Oreochromis niloticus: one gene and its partner. The protein of the gene in region 1 purifies or fractionates together with the protein of each later gene. This does not show direct contact. Links are inferred from orthologs where the notes say so. Each region holds a gene or a part of one and is shown in the gene's direction. Other genes may lie near its edges.

Region 1 (7,448 bases):
CTTTTTTTAAGTCAAGGAGAGGTTCTGTCAAAGCAGCTCCACTGGGATAGCAGGGAACAGTCTGATCAAAAAGCCTAAACCAGCAGGTGGAGCTCAGCAGACTGCAAAGAATAGTTTAGCAGTGTTTGAGTCATGGTCGCTGTGACCTTCCGATATGTCCAATCAGACAAGCAAGGCAGACCTCTGATATTATGACATCACCTTCCTAACACCTACCTGTAGGCATGTCTGATATGTCGTAAGGGCTTATTGTTTGTCCACTGGAATAATGTAAGTTTCTGTTCCGCTTTGCAGGACTGTCTCGATGAATGACTGATTATCATTAGCGTCACTAGTCGGCTGACTTCTCTCTGATGCCATGCATCACCACACACTCATTTCTAATCAAGGTACAGGGTCTTACTTAGGAAGGGGAAAGCCTGCAGATGACATCATGCAGCTCCATGGACAGCTGTCAGGATGAGTCAGGTGATCGTAGGCAGACTGAAAGTCGCTGTCTTCCTTATGTCAGGGAACAAAATTCCTCCAGCAGCGAGGCAGCTTCCAGTTCAGTCACCGTCAAAGCATGAGTAACTACTTTGACAGGAAGCTATAACATACAGTTGCATCCATGACTGAAAAAAACAATAGATAATAACACAATTGTGAAAGATGCTTACATTTAGTAGTCACCATGAGCATTTCTTTTATCGGCGTGGAGCAGTGCCAAGGACTGTGATTCAATAAGATGCTGTGTCCCCTGAATAGAAATGTAGAGCTAATCTATAGAATCAATGATAGCTAAGAGGAAAGATAGCATAAATACCAGTTTGGATTTTGATTTTTGTAATGTTCACCTGACATAGCGCAAAATAATATTGCCACATTTTCTTCTAGTGCCACACGCTGAAGATTTGCATGCACTCAATTATACATTCAGTATGTGACAAACATGTGCACTTCCACATAATGAGAAGGAATTATTTATAGCATGCTGCGCTCTTATCATTTGTCGGGCCCAACAGGTACAAAAAGATGAAGTTCAAGGACACCCAAACTTGTCCTCCCAGCAAGCTGTTACTTAGACAAACATTCATCATTCAAGAACACAATTACACCACATCTAAACCGTCTTCTCTATGGAGTATTAATTGGATAAACAGATCTCTGTTACACTATGTACATGCCAGTTTTCTCTGCTCTACACTGAAATTAATAATGCACACAAGATAGTTCACTGCTGTATTTCCCTCCCAAAGAATTTAATATGGAAATTTAATCCATGACTCCTTAAGTTATAGCATGGTCAAAACTCTATGGCAAAAACAATTACTTCACAAATTATTATTACACACACACACACAAAAAAAACATTAAGGAGTGTCTTTCTGAAAGATAATTATATTCCGAGGCCTTCATTAAGAGCTTGATAAGTACATTTGTAAGCTCATTCTCTCCAAGACTGTAATTCATGCTGCACTGGTGGAGCTTCTTAATTAACACCTACTCAAGCCAACAAATAGAAGTGTGTTAGTTGTGCTTGGCTGCAGGACAAGACAGCATTGTTGATTGTAATGTTCTGTGTGTCCACTGCTTTGAATTACTGATGACTGTCCTCTTTTTTTGGAACCATGACATGAAGCACTGTAGAAAAGTCTTATCTCACCCATCAGTTCTTCATATTTTGCTTGGACAATACAGATCTATTGAAACATGCAATCACGTATAGTTTGTGCGATTCTAACAGTTTTGAAGGTCAGTATTTGGTATGACTATCCCACACTGCTTCAATAATGTTGAGGTCCAGGCTCTGTGGATGCCAGTCAACGACTGATAGTGTTCCATTGTGTGCTTTTCTATTCAGTTATGCTTTCACTGCAGTGGCAGTGTGTTTGGGATCATTGTTATGCTTGAATATGAAGCTGTTGCCAATCAGACGCTTTCCACTTGGTATTGCATGATGGATCAAAATCTCATGGTACTTTTCTGCATTCATAAGTCAGTTTAGACAAGCTATCCAACACCACTGGATTAAATTCAGCCCCAAACCACAACAGAGCCTCCACCGTATTTTCCACATGGCTGTGGACACTCACTGCTTTTCCTCTCTCCTGAGCTACTCCATACATTCTCATAAAAATTAAAACCCACAATGTCAAACTTGGATTAATCGCTCCACAAGACCTGCTGCGATTCCTTTTTAGGCCTGAACAGACACCCCAGTGTTGGTTTTGTGTGTACAACATCATCATAACAATGTTGGCTCAACATTGCAACTGACCAGTCACGCTGTCGGAGCAAACCAACACAAGTAACCTAAATTTGGCTAAAAGAAACGCTAACTTGATCATATGTTTGTTATATTGCATAAAATTATTTTAAAAAATTAAACACTTACCATTTGTTCCATAAGAGTTTAATATAAACAAAGTAATTTGTTTTCTTTTTTCTCAATATTCCAAAGCTATGACATCACAAAAATATGACTGGTCAGTAGCAATGCTGACCAACATTAACAACACCAGCACAGAGATAACAGATTTTTTTAGTCCAGCTCTTATCTAATATGGCATACTTCAGTCTTTTTATTCCTCTGTTTGCCTTTAGTGGCTCTCCTGAACAGTAGGCCAGTTGTACTGCTCAGGTCAAGTCTTTGCTGGATTTTTCCCCCCTTTCTCAAGCACATGATTTTCACAGGTCCATGTTAAGTAGCTTAACAAACACAAAAACACATTCCTCCGAAAGTGGTCAGGTACAAGGACTGGACTGAAAATGACTAAAAAGCAAACAATGGCAAAAGAAAAGCCTGGAGGACTTTTACTTACAAACACTTTGCAATATTGCAAGAAAGTCTGGCTCCTTGGAAGCAAAATGTTACAAAATGAGGGGTAACTCAAGACTTTTTCACAGTACTGTATTTCTTTAAGAGGTGTCTTGTGCCATAAACACACATAACATTAGAAGGATACAGATTGAACTTAATTAATAAACTATTAATTGCCAGCTCTGCAGCTAGTTCTATACAACCAAGAACCAAGAACTGAAGCTACCACTGCTATACGTGTGCGCGTGTATGTGTGAATTAGAAAAGTGAGGCTAGAGGGGTGGCACCTGGCCTCTTTAGATAATCTATTTATGTCTTTCACACTTCATCAAGCCTGAACCAAAATACCCAGCACTTGAATATGTTTATCAAATGTCTCAGTGTTCTCAGTCACTGCTGAAACAAACCACAAAAGTGCAGTCCACAACATACGTGAGATATATTTGCTCTTGACCTCGTAAGAGTTGAATTCATACATGTTTGCATATCCACAAAGCATTTCTAGATATGCTGGTTAATTTACTTGTCTAGAATGCCTGCAGTGTTTTCGTATGATGTTTATTTATTAATAATAAATGAGTAAGTGGCGCTTCAACGTGCCCATTGTGTCTGTGCACCTGATGCCACATCAGCTGGCTTTCCCTAGGGGATTCTGTTATACAGAGTTGCTAACATGTAAAACCCATGAGCATAAACAAAAGATAAACATAATTTTAGTTTAAAACAAATCGAGCCGCTCAAAATTTAGTTAACATTAAAGATGAAAGGAGCTGAAAGGAAGATAATCAGCAAGTTAGCAGAAGGTACTGTGATGTGCAAAAGTTTTGATTCACCCCTCTAGTTCTGCATATTTATGTTTAATGAAATATGTGCTAAGATAAATAGAAATACAGTAAATAAGGAAAAAGTAGAGTTTGCACAATTCTGATGAGTTTTGCACGGCCCGTGATACTTCACAAAAAGATAGTTTCAGTTTGAAAAGGCTCTGTTTTACATTCTGCTAGCGACGCACACAGAGAGACAGAGTAAGAAAATAAGCATCAGACAAAAGAGCAACTGCCTGTGGTAATAACCTTAAACCTTGGAGTTTGTTATCGACACCAGCTCATTGCTGTCATTGAGTGGTGCAGTGCAGAGAGGAAAGTAAAGACAGGAGACAAAGGTCCAATACATGAGTTAACAATAATACGAGATTATGAACTGATTTGCTCAAGGAGAATTTCACTGTTTTTTTTTTTTTTAATGATTATTTTTTCTGTTGTGATAGACTTAAGAAGAGTAAATCTTTTCCTGGCTTTCTAGTTTAGCCGTTATGATTGCATCTCGAAGAAATTCTGGCAGAAAAAACAAAACAAAAACTATTACAATAAAATGTCACGTCTGAAAATCCCCTCAAATCAAATGTCATATTTGAACATCAGATTCCTTCATAATGACTACTTTCAGTTTATTTTCCTTCCTCGGTCAGAAGCCTGTTCTGTAGCCCAACAGTTTAAATAGCGCTTCCCTACTCCTGCCTTTATGGAAGCAGTAATTAATCCATATATGGACATACACAGCGAGCACCACGCCCAAAACACCTCCTGGTTTTACGGACTTGCTGTGGCCCGTGGCCTCCCTTCTCCACTGCCTGGAAGTTCAGGAACTTGGTCACCGCCCAGCGCCCCCCTCCTCCTCCTTTTACCGTATCTATTGTTGGGTAATACGTTACTCCATCGAAATTCTCCTAACCGAAACTTTTCAGCTGACTTGCTGGAGCGCTTGTGATACTTTTCTGTATAGCCGTCGGGCGGAGGGAGGAAAACTTAGGTGTTTATCGTGAGTGAGCGGCGCAGTTAAACTAAGTCCGTGGGGCGAGGAAACGGGAGGAAAACTTTTGACGCAAGGAATTCCGCAATTCCCATTCCTCCATTTTGAACTTTTAAACTTCACTTTGTCTAACGGACTGTTGTCGGTGAGTATATAACGAGTCTTTCTTACTTTATGTACAGTGAATACTTAAAAAAAATGAGTGGACTAGTTATTTGGACCGTCTGTTGAGGCGGTAAAGTTTGCCGCAGAAAGCAGGCTAACAGTTGTTTGTCGCTTAGCATTAGCTTTAGCTCATCGCTGTGTTTGGAGAGCTCCGTGTTACAGCAGGTAACCTGCATTACGCTAAGCTAAGCTGGTTTTAATGTTACCTGTAGCCTGCGGTTAATAAAGTATCGAAAATGACCTAGATGTACCGTTATTGGGTGTTAAATGTGTACACGAGTATTTTCTGCTTTGTATATTCTCGTTTGACGCTTTTTGACGGGGTAAAACCGACGTTTGTTTAGGTAGTTTTAGCAACAGGTGGAAGTTGAGCTAATGTTAGCACACCAGGTGTTTGACCCACCCTAGTGCTTCTCAGCAAGTGTTAACATGTTTCTTTTTTGTTACGGGATTTTTCCTGTTTGGATACAGTATATACACTTATTAGTACCTACATATGGCTTAGTTTGAGAGTTTTAAACCATTAATATTATTTTTGCCCAAGTCACGTACATAAACAATCAGTGGTCTCAAGCCTGCTAGACTGTTTCGATTTCATTTGCAGAGATTTGTAGATATCACTTTGCGACATGTACCACGCCCATGCAGAGGAGGTGAACGCAGTTTCTCCCACGCTGGCCCTTCGTGTCATGACTAGCATTTCACGTTGCTTTCAGTGGAAATGCGTCATGTTGTGTGGACAAACAGACGTTTCGTCAAACAACCTTTACAGAATTTCTTTTTCAATACACTGCCCAACATTATCAGTTTCACTGCGTGTTAACTCATGGGTAGAAACTCTGTGTATATCGGAAAGAAGAAAAGTGGTTAATAATACAGGAGAACTGAAAATGGCTCGCCTAATATATAACGATTCAGTATAAAATTAGACAGCCATGGTTACCATGTTCTTCTCTTAATATTTTTGTATTTTTGTTGGTAATGTAGGCTAATAGCTAGTGTTGTAATTCCTCACATAATACAGCTGACCAACTTTTCAGTTGAAGCCCCTCAGCCCTCGGGCCATCCTGATTATCCCTGCCCCTCCATGTTTGATAGCTAATCAATGGGGTCGCAGCCACTGCCTGAAAAGAGAAATTGAAATTGGGCCACTGTGTTGCTGTGCTCTGCCGTTGGCATTCATTCTGAAAGCAATGGAGCACTGCCGGCTCTAACAAGGACTTTAATAATTTCTTTAATGCACCGAGTTCTAGACACTAGTCTGATAATCTGAAAGAAATCTTGATTTATGAAGAAAAATTATAACTTTAAAGTCATTCAGGGAAGCAAATATTCAGTTAATCAAAGGACAGAGATGTCCATTTTTTCTGTAGTCTACATTTTCTGCTTCAGAAGAATTAATTTGTCATTTGTTTCATTTTTTTCTCTTTGACCTTTTTTTTAAAAAAACAAACAAAAAACAGTAAACTAGACATCATGACTAGCAACACCGCACCAAACATCAACTTTAAATGGGACCCGAAGAGCCTGGAGATCCGTACTCTGGCAGTGGAAAGGCTGCTGGAGCCTCTGGTCACACAGGTAATACAACAAGTATTAATATTATTAAAAGGAGGCACCTTACACATCTTATTTCACAAAACAGCAAAGTAAAAAAATATGATTTATTTCTGTGGTTCATTCTTGCATTTCACCATTTTAATACTGTGGTATTTTGCCTGGCAGTGTCATATGTTGTCTGTTTTTTAGACTTATCACTATTTATTAACTGTAGGCAGGTATATAATATCCTAATGAATCTCTGCCATAGGTCACCACTTTGGTAAACACCAGCAATAAAGGACCATCTAACAAGAGGAAGGGGCGCTCCAAGAAGGCCCATGTTTTGGCTGCATCAGTGGAGACTGCTACCGAGAACTTCCTTGAGAAAGGCGAAAAGATTGCAAAGGAAAGTCAGTTCCTCAAGGATGAGCTGACTGCTGCTGTGGAAGATGTCCGCAAGCAAGGTATATTGAAAATACGTATTGCAGCAGTGTGGCTTCATGCTTGTACAGAGTGCCTCTTAAGAAAGGACGGATGAAAAATAAACCATAAGCTATGTATACATCATCTGCTCCAGCAGAAATCCTTGAAATAAGAATGTGGTTTGAGTCTGATAGATTTCGTTTAGAAATGGGTTTTTCAATGAGGCCATTAATAGACTTTCAGTTTAAGCATGCACATGGTTCAGATTCATTTCATGCTAGATGGTGTCATTGCCTTACCTTCTGTGGGGATCAAATGTAACCACTTTTCCAGAGAAGCCTTTGTGTTCTCTTAGCGCAGTGTTAGGATACTCCCCAGTTATCTGAACTTGAGAATCAACCTCACCATATTCAGTGTTGTATTTTCTGTGCTACCTCCCGTTTCTTGTCCTTTGTTTTTGTTATAGAAGGATACAAAGATGTGGTTATATTATAGAGGTTTGCATAACATCAAATCAGTATTATTTTACTTGTGTTTCTTAATGTTCAGAACTTATTTTTGGGTAGTGTGTGGGGTATTCTTGGCTTTTAAAAATCCTTACCGAGGAGTCTACTATAAACTATGTAGTACTCACATGAAGAACTAAATTCCAGTTTAAATCTTGTGTTGGCCAGAAATCATAAAATGTATACAAATTAGGGTGTAA
Region 2 (8,293 bases), on another chromosome or scaffold:
TTCATTCTGCTCAGCGAAGTATTTAATACTTTGTTACACAATTGTCCCCATGATTTAAAAAAAAAACACCAGAAAGAAATCCGCAACTTAATCATTCCATGCCTAAATTTGTCACTCTGTAAACTTTCTTTTTATTATTATTATTATTATTGTTGTTGTTGTTGTTGCTGTTGTTGTTGTTGTTATTATTATTACTAATATAAAAAGTACTCATTTAAAAAAGGCTCTGACATCTTTAAACTGTTTATGTTCTCACAAATGCTAGCAATACACACACACACACACACACACACACACACACACATATATATATATATAACTTAAGAACTCAAGAAGTTTATTGTCATTTAGTATGGTGTTACCCAGCCTGAAACGAAATACTGTTTCTCACCAGCCTCTACAGTTTAAAAAGCAAGTCATTATAAGAAAAGCAAATAGCAAATAGTCAGCAATTTTGTTTGATGGCTCAGTCGATGTATAAGTTGCTTAAAGATTAAAAAAAACTGTCACACTTTCCATGAAGAGATTTTAAAAGGATATTTGGGAAATAAGATAAGATGTATTGTTGTCATGCAATAGCTGGGAACTATGTGCACACACTGCATACGGTCAGTGTGCTTATTTAACTTCCTGTTCAGTTTCCTGCATGGCCTATTTATGCTCTGGTTTTGTTCATAATATGCAAATAAGATATAAAGTATGTTTATAAATGAACCCAAGAGGTGATGCTCAGCACATTTTCCTAACTTTTGATGGAGCAATTATAGCTGTTTCCACAGATTTATTTAACCTGTGGGTGTTTATGATATAAACTGGCAAAAATTGATTTCATCAATCACTAAGATATCATCATCAGTATATATGGCTTTATTTTTGCTATGAGAATGTATTTATTTATGACTTTATTGTTGAATAATATATTTATTCAACCGTATTTAGTCACTGCGTCCTCATTGCTTTTCCCCATTTTATTGTTTGAAAAACAAAAACGGTACTTTATGTGAAATAGACAGATTATCTGGAGGAAAAAAACAATGAAACATTAATAAATCATAATCCACTATTAGCTGTTATTAACTGGCTGGCTTAAATACTGTATATACTGTACTGTATATGTATTAGGCGCTATAGCAGTGTCCTGAGCTTCCTCTCTCTTACTGGTGGAGCAGCTCTACAGATGGACTGCATCAATGAGCTAAATTCAAACCAGCTGCCTGGACACATGCACTGTGAACCCTGCATGTCAGTAAAAATATTTCCAGACATGAGATAACTTGTTTTGTAATGCTACAAAAACTTTACATCTGGCATTTTAGCAGGTGCGAGGCTTTTAAAAAAAGACACCTACCAAATGTTAGATGAATTTTCCCTGTGAAGACGGCAGGCATCAAAATCACTTTTTAATATGCTGGGCATCAATACCCAGCTTTTGTCTTGTTTTCTTCTCTTACAATGGTCACCTTTAGTGGATGTAGTTCTTGGGAATGTTGACCTATTGAGGAGTAAGTATTGAACAGCTAAGACATTTAGTAATTTGAAATGCCTTTAAAATTCCAGCATTCTAGCATCTTGGATTGCTTCTTATTGCCTGATTTAAAAGATATCTAGCACATACTTGGGAATTTAAGAATTGAAAGGAAATTTACAAGGTAACAAAATAACGTTACTCACTAATGCCATCTCTCTCCATTGGCTGTCTTCTGTCTGCTATCTAGAAGTTTTTCTTATGCAACCAAGCTGATAAGCTCAGCACAGAGGAAAAATAAACAGTAAAAAGCATCTGCAGAATTCACAGAGACTTACAAAAACAAAGCAGGCAGTATCTTTGATCCATGTCTCTGTTAAAGTTTCCTTGAGCTGAACTTATCCCCTAGTTTAGAGAGATAATAAGTACATGAAATGTGAACTATACAAAAGAGTGTAAATTCTGTTGAGGCCACAGTGATGCAGCACTTTTAGAGTGTACAGCTTCCTTATTCTTGTATGTTGGGGTGGGGAGTATGTATTACCCCCCACCCCTTCCATGCATCATGTACTCCTTCCATGCATCCACACAGTTATCCGTAGGGTGAACGGTGGGGCACACTCGTTTGAACTTTTTAACTTTAGTTACTCTCTCATTTTGTGTGTGTGATTTTTAAAAAGTATTATAGTTGGTGTATTCTGGTTCAGGGTCACTTTTAAGTGACCCACTTCCCATCTTGGAGTCACATATTTAACCGCATTGTGCAGGTTCTTCGGACATGATGCGATTTTATTAGGGTTTGGATACAGCAGATTGAATGACGAAATCCACTAAAACAGTTGCCTGAGAGTTTACAGGCATACCAGAAAGCATAGATCAGACATCACAGTGAATGAGCGCATCGGCGAAAAAGCTGGATTAAAACGCGGTTCTTTAACAGCTAACATGACAGATCAACTGGCCGGGTGTGACAGTGCTGCTTCCACTAAACATACACACAGGAAGTTGATAACGACTATTGTTTCCTGTCACTGAGTCAAAAATGAAGCTGTTTTGGTTCAAACCACAAACATCAGTTCACAACACGGACCAGCTGTAAGTCTGTGGACAACGTGTCCTAAGATTATTTCAGTTGTTATATGTGATGAAAAATGATTTTTCTTGTCTTATCTTCTCTCGTCACAAATTCTCACACCGTTATTAGTGTATAATTAGATAATTTAATCATTTAGAATGTATTTACACATAATAATGAGGATCGAAGGAGGGGAAAAAAGGTTCGGGGGAAAAACCGCAACTGCAGCAGGTTGAATGTGTCAAATACACTCACATCCTTTGTTAGGTAAAGACACGCCCCTGTTGTTTCCTGGTTGGCTACCCTGTCCTCCAGTGCCTCGTTTTTGTACTCTTATTGGTTAAGACGAAAAATCTGTCAAACCGGAAGTCCCGCCCTGTTCAAACATCAATGAAAAGTGTACGGGACCTCCTGAGTGAAAGTAAAGTCAAGCTAGAAAGGAAAGAAAGAAGAGATGAGGCAAGTCCGGAAGTAATGAAAGTGTTTTTTTCATAGTAAAAGAGCCCAAATTGTTGAAAAAGATTAAGAAACTGCAGTGTCGTAACTAGTTAACACCAGGCTCCAAGTAAGATAGTTAAAGCAGGTCTTTCCATCACAGTGTACCTTTCATATGTCTTTGAGGATTATAAATTGATAGTCATACTGATTTTGACCAATAATAAGCATACCCAAGTGTTTACAGGTGTTTACAATAAAAACTCTGTTTTGCTTAATTAATGTGATTGCTGTGCCCATGTTTATTATTTCATGCCAAAATAGCCGTAGTGAACAGAACCAATTATTATTTGTCCAATACCTCATTTTCACTATCTTGGGTTCTGTGATGAAGCAGCCTCATAAGTCTGTAAAAGTAAATATTTTTGTTGCGTTTTCCTTTTAAAGTCTTTTCTGAGACCGCTTTATTTGGTTTTACTTCGTTGTTGCTCTGGAGTGCCAGGAGTGCCAGAATGAAATAAATATATAAAATAAATATATTGTTAAATAATTATCTGAATGTGTCATTAATTCATTAGGATGTAACTGTCACTTCAGCAGTTGAGCGCAGTGACAGTTTGATTTGTTTGTCTAAAAACACAGATCCCCAGGCTAATTTTAAAACTTCAGATCACAGCTTAATATTTTCACATGGAAAACTAGCGAATGGATGACGCTGCTTACTTCACACCAGCACTGGCAACCCCCCAAAATTAGATAATAATTTTAATAAACATGAGCGCAAGAGAGAGGAAGACACTCTACAATGAGCTGAAACATTCACTTCTTATTAATTCCTGCATATACAATTTTTATTACTCATATTGTGTCATTCTGTATGTCCCTCACGATTTCCCGTCATCACCCCCTTCACTCTGGCATGTGCCGACCAGAGATGGGCAGTAACGCGTTACTTGTAACGCGTTACTGTAATCTGATTACCTTTTTCAAGTAACGAGTAATGTAAGGGATTACTATTGCAAAAACGGTAATTAGATTACCGTTACTTTCACGTAGGAACGCTGCGTTACTGCGTTACTAAAACCGTGATTTTTTGCGAGAACGTCTCATGACAGTGACGTAAGCGAGTGCGACGTTCGTGACAACAGCTGTCTGCAGATCATAATATATCGAGTGCGGGACAGAGTGTAGCATGCAGCGTTTAAAGCGTGGAAGTACTGACCTTATTTTGAGTTTGAGTCCATAAAAAGTGACAAAAACATTAGCGTCCGTTGTGCGTGGGAAGAAAACTTCTTTTTACAGCGGAAAAACCCCTAAACTTCCAAGCAAGCACCGAGTGTACTACAACGTAATGTGAAATTCACAGAGAAACTCGCGGATTCTTCCACTGACCGCTGCAGCACACCTGCACCAGGGTAAACCTCCACCTACCCCAGTCCTGCTTTACAGGTGAAAATAGAGCAACAGGACCGCTAGTCTTTGATTTTATTTATTTTCTGCTGTGTTTTACTTGCATCTATTTGAAAGAGTGAGTGTAAACACAAAAAAATATTTTATTTTATGTGCTGAAATGTGCAGAAAATAGGTTTAAATGTTAAACAAATTTCTTCCAGTCAGAGAATGTTGCATATAATTTAATTTTTGCTTGATGCATAAAGTTAAAAGATTAAAACTAATAAAACAAGTTTTAAAAAGAGACTTTTCCATTTGATTACATTTTGTATGATGAATTATGCAGCAAAAGTAGAATTGGGCTGAAAGATCTATCGCTTTATCACCTATTCAGGTTGTAAATCGTGTTTTTAAAAAGTAACTAAGTAACTAAGTAACTAAGTAATTAATTACTTTTGAAAATAAGTAATCAGTAAAGTAACGGGATTACTTTTTGGGGGAAGTAATCAGTAATTAGTAACTGATTACTTTTTTCAAGTAACTTGACCAACACTGGTGCCGACCCAGTATTTTTAGTGGCCACCCCTATGAAAAAATCCTGGAGGCGCCCCTGTAGTTTAAAACAAAAAAGTCAATTTGTAAATTCTCACCTACAAATGCACACATAGATTTTGAAAATACATGCACAAGTATTTGAATATTTCATCATACCGACACAAATAAGACCCGACTCATTAGTGGGCAATGTGCATGTTTTATTTTGAAATGCCCAAACGGAAACTATCGACTTGATTCCGGCGAAATTACCACCTGTGCGGAGTAGAAGCAGGACCCCCAAAGAGAATTCAGTGAGGACAGCAGGATTTGTTTTACATTTTTCCGGCGCATTCTTCCTGTTGCCTGTGTTTGGATTTGACAGGTTTTTTTTTACGAGAAGCACGTCTGGAAAGCGAAAACGTTGAACACAAAAATGGAAATAGAGAAGGAGCTAAAGAAGGTAAGCTTTGCCCCCGTGTTCTTCGTGGATATCTCGCACAGTCCGGGGAACGCCCTTAAGGTGTGCAGAGCAAGGGACAGGTGGCAGAAAAGTTACAGTACTGTAGGTTATTTTAGAGTTTAAGTTTCGGTTTTAATTTCGAGATATTAATTGTCTTTATTTATTTATTTATTTTTTCAATTAAAAATCTACTTACTTCGCTTAAATAAGCTTTTTTTTTTTTTTACATCCTTGAGTAGTTGATATTGCTGGAACAAACTCTAGTCGATCGGTTTACAAACTTGGGAAACGTGGGTCGCGCCCTTTTTAGTTACTTCCCTTTCAGAATAAGTTCCTATGTAAGAAACTGCGTTTGAAATGGGACAAAGTCTCACTCTGCGTATCAACCAAACCCCCAACCTCTGTAACTTAATAGCGGAACAGCTTGACCCATTAACGGACCCATTTTACGTACAAAGTCGTCCCCCTTGTTCAGGGTTTTGTTACTGTATTAATCCGCGTTGCTCAGCGTCCTCAGCTCTCTATTAAGTGGAACAAATCACCGTGACAGTAAAATGCAAACCAGGTGTGATAGTTAATTTGTCCATAAGTAAATGTTGCCGTTACAGCTGCCGAATTGAGTATTGAACTGTCAGCAGGGTTTCAGGAATATTAAGGCTCATGTCACTCATAATACACTTGAGACTCTAAGCCAGATGCTTCAAAATCTAATGTTTTTTAAATGGAGTTTGGCCATCCAAGGGAGAAGACAAAAGTTAAGAGTCAGGACAGGCAGGAAACCCTTTTACAGTACACGCTTTGTCTAGTGAATAGTCATTCATTCCTCATCAGGGGCCACTGTAGATACTCGCTGTTCGCATTCATTAGATTCCTCTTATGCACCCCTTCTGCTTAGTTTACTTATGGTCCATAGATAATCTGTATAAATAATTCTGTTCGAGAAATCCAGGTTTATGTAGTGAATACACATGAATATCAGCCAGTCAGCATTTTCCACAGAAGCTATTATAACCTCTTAAGTAGTTTAGAAAAAGAAAAATGCATTTTAACATTCGTTAAAGCTTTTGTAGTTACCAGAATCAAACTATATGGATTATTATTGTTGTTGTTGTTATTTATTATGGTTATTGACAAGTTTGTACACAAACAGGGATTGTGTTTTGGTGGCATGGTGCAAAAACATTGGTACTGTACTGTTAACTTATGCTACTAAGTTAACTTGAGCTTTGGGGGTCCTTGCACAGACCTGAAGAGATTTGGCAGCAGTAAAGGTGGTTACACAGACTGGTGGTTCGTTTTGTATGAGTTATTAAGCTGCAATATTAATGTCTTCAGCCACTTGTAAAAATATGGTTTACATTTTTCCTGCATTAATAATCTTTTGTATACAAATTTCAGAGCTTTCAGCTTCAGTCTGAAAAATTGACTAAGAGAGAATTTTACAGGGACGAACTGTTTCAGTGAAGATGAAGGAATCCTCTGCTTAAATAGGTCTGAGCAGCTGGATAACCCAGACAGACAGTCTGACATCTGCCTGTAATCCCTGGGGGAGATCAGCCTGCCACAGCTGCAGGGTTTCTGTCTGCTAGTGGCTGCAAGTTCACAGAGATGCTGCTGTGATCTGTGTTGCGCTTGTTCAGGAAACATTACCATTGTGTTTAGGTGATATTATACTCAATTAAGGTGCTGCATTCTACTTAACAGAACGTCTGAGGTAATAGGCTGTGACTATAGGGTTGCGGTGTACAGCACTGCCATTCTGCTGACTCTTAGAAGTCTGTGGAGGTCTGGCTAGGTTTATTTCTTACCTAAACACCTAAACCATCATTAAAGCTTTCATATGACTTTGTGGTCGAAATAGAACCAGACCAAAGGATTTCTCTATTTGTTTAAATCCTGCAATGATTACAGTGTTATGAACTGAATTTCAGTTCAAGCCAGTGAGTCATGAGACCAATTAAATCTTTGTCTAAAACAACAGTAAGTGAACTGAACAATAGTAATATGTTTTATGACCGTATTCCACCTTTACAGAGGAAAGTTTGCCTTAAAAATAGAAGAAGTTGTTCATAAATTTTAAGGGTGGTTTGACTGATACTTCTTTGACACAAGATGCATACATGTAAGTAACTGAACATTCTTTTAAAAAATATGTGTTTTACATGTTTTACATCATCTTCATGATGTTACAGAAACTGTGTCCAGCCTCTGAAAGGAGCTGGTCAGCTCCAGCTAAAGCGACTACTTTCCTAGCCACTGGCCTGCAGCTCTGCCCTTCTCAAGTAAAGTGACTCATGAACTGAATCACTGGACCTGAATAGACTTTGTGTCTAAACTGGCTTGTAGCAAAAGTGTTGTCACCAAAATGAATCACCCCACAGGCTTAGTCATGAAACAAAGTCATTGATTAACTTGAAGTGTGAATCCAGATGGTGCAGCTGCCTTCCAGGGAAACATACATACATGCTGAATGAGCTCTGCCAAAAACAGTCGTCTTCCCCATGCTTGAGATAAATATTTAGGCTTTCGACCACTTAGCCTGTCCGCCCTTAAAGCATACCAATAAACGTTTGCACTTGCGAAGTTGAAAATGATGTTTTAGTTGGTGCTGTAAAATGACACTTTAAATAATTTGTCGTTTTGTCTCAAAGTTCAAGTACTTTGTTGTTAAGGTGTGACATGACAGAACATCTGCAAGAGCCTGCACAACTTTGTAGTACCATCTGAAACCCCCTGAGAATCAAGGACTGGAAGTTGGCAATAGATGCCTGCACAACTTTGTAATCTTGTTTACTTTTTCATAATTCAGGTCAAACTTTTTATTTAGACAACACTGCCTTCCACTAATATAGTATCATTTCTGCATCAGTATTAAAATGCAAGTAAAATCATACACAGTCCTACCCAAAAAGAATCATTCTTAATTACA

Evidence for each region. The genes of interacting proteins can lie anywhere in the genome.
Region 2: the proteins of ctnna1 (region 1) and tes purify together in Homo sapiens (affinity purification with mass spectrometry; 3 studies listed by BioGRID and IntAct, with this or other methods). This does not show direct contact. The link is inferred for Oreochromis niloticus from reciprocal best matches to the Homo sapiens genes CTNNA1 and TES.

The regions. Positions count from the first base shown.
Region 1 is NC_031966.2:29,111,875-29,119,322, forward strand, and holds the start of ctnna1 (catenin alpha-1), read left to right. Parts: upstream 1-4,400; 5' UTR 4,401-4,757; intron 4,758-6,240; 5' UTR 6,241-6,253; coding exon 6,254-6,358; intron 6,359-6,587; coding exon 6,588-6,783; intron 6,784-7,448. UniProt on the Homo sapiens protein: Associates with the cytoplasmic domain of a variety of cadherins. The association of catenins to cadherins produces a complex which is linked to the actin filament network, and which seems to be of primary importance for cadherins cell-adhesion properties.
Region 2 is NC_031972.2:41,431,106-41,439,398, reverse strand, and holds the start of tes (testin), read left to right. Parts: upstream 1-5,137; 5' UTR 5,138-5,337; coding exon 5,338-5,364; intron 5,365-8,293. UniProt on the Homo sapiens protein: Scaffold protein that may play a role in cell adhesion, cell spreading and in the reorganization of the actin cytoskeleton. Plays a role in the regulation of cell proliferation. May act as a tumor suppressor. Inhibits tumor cell growth.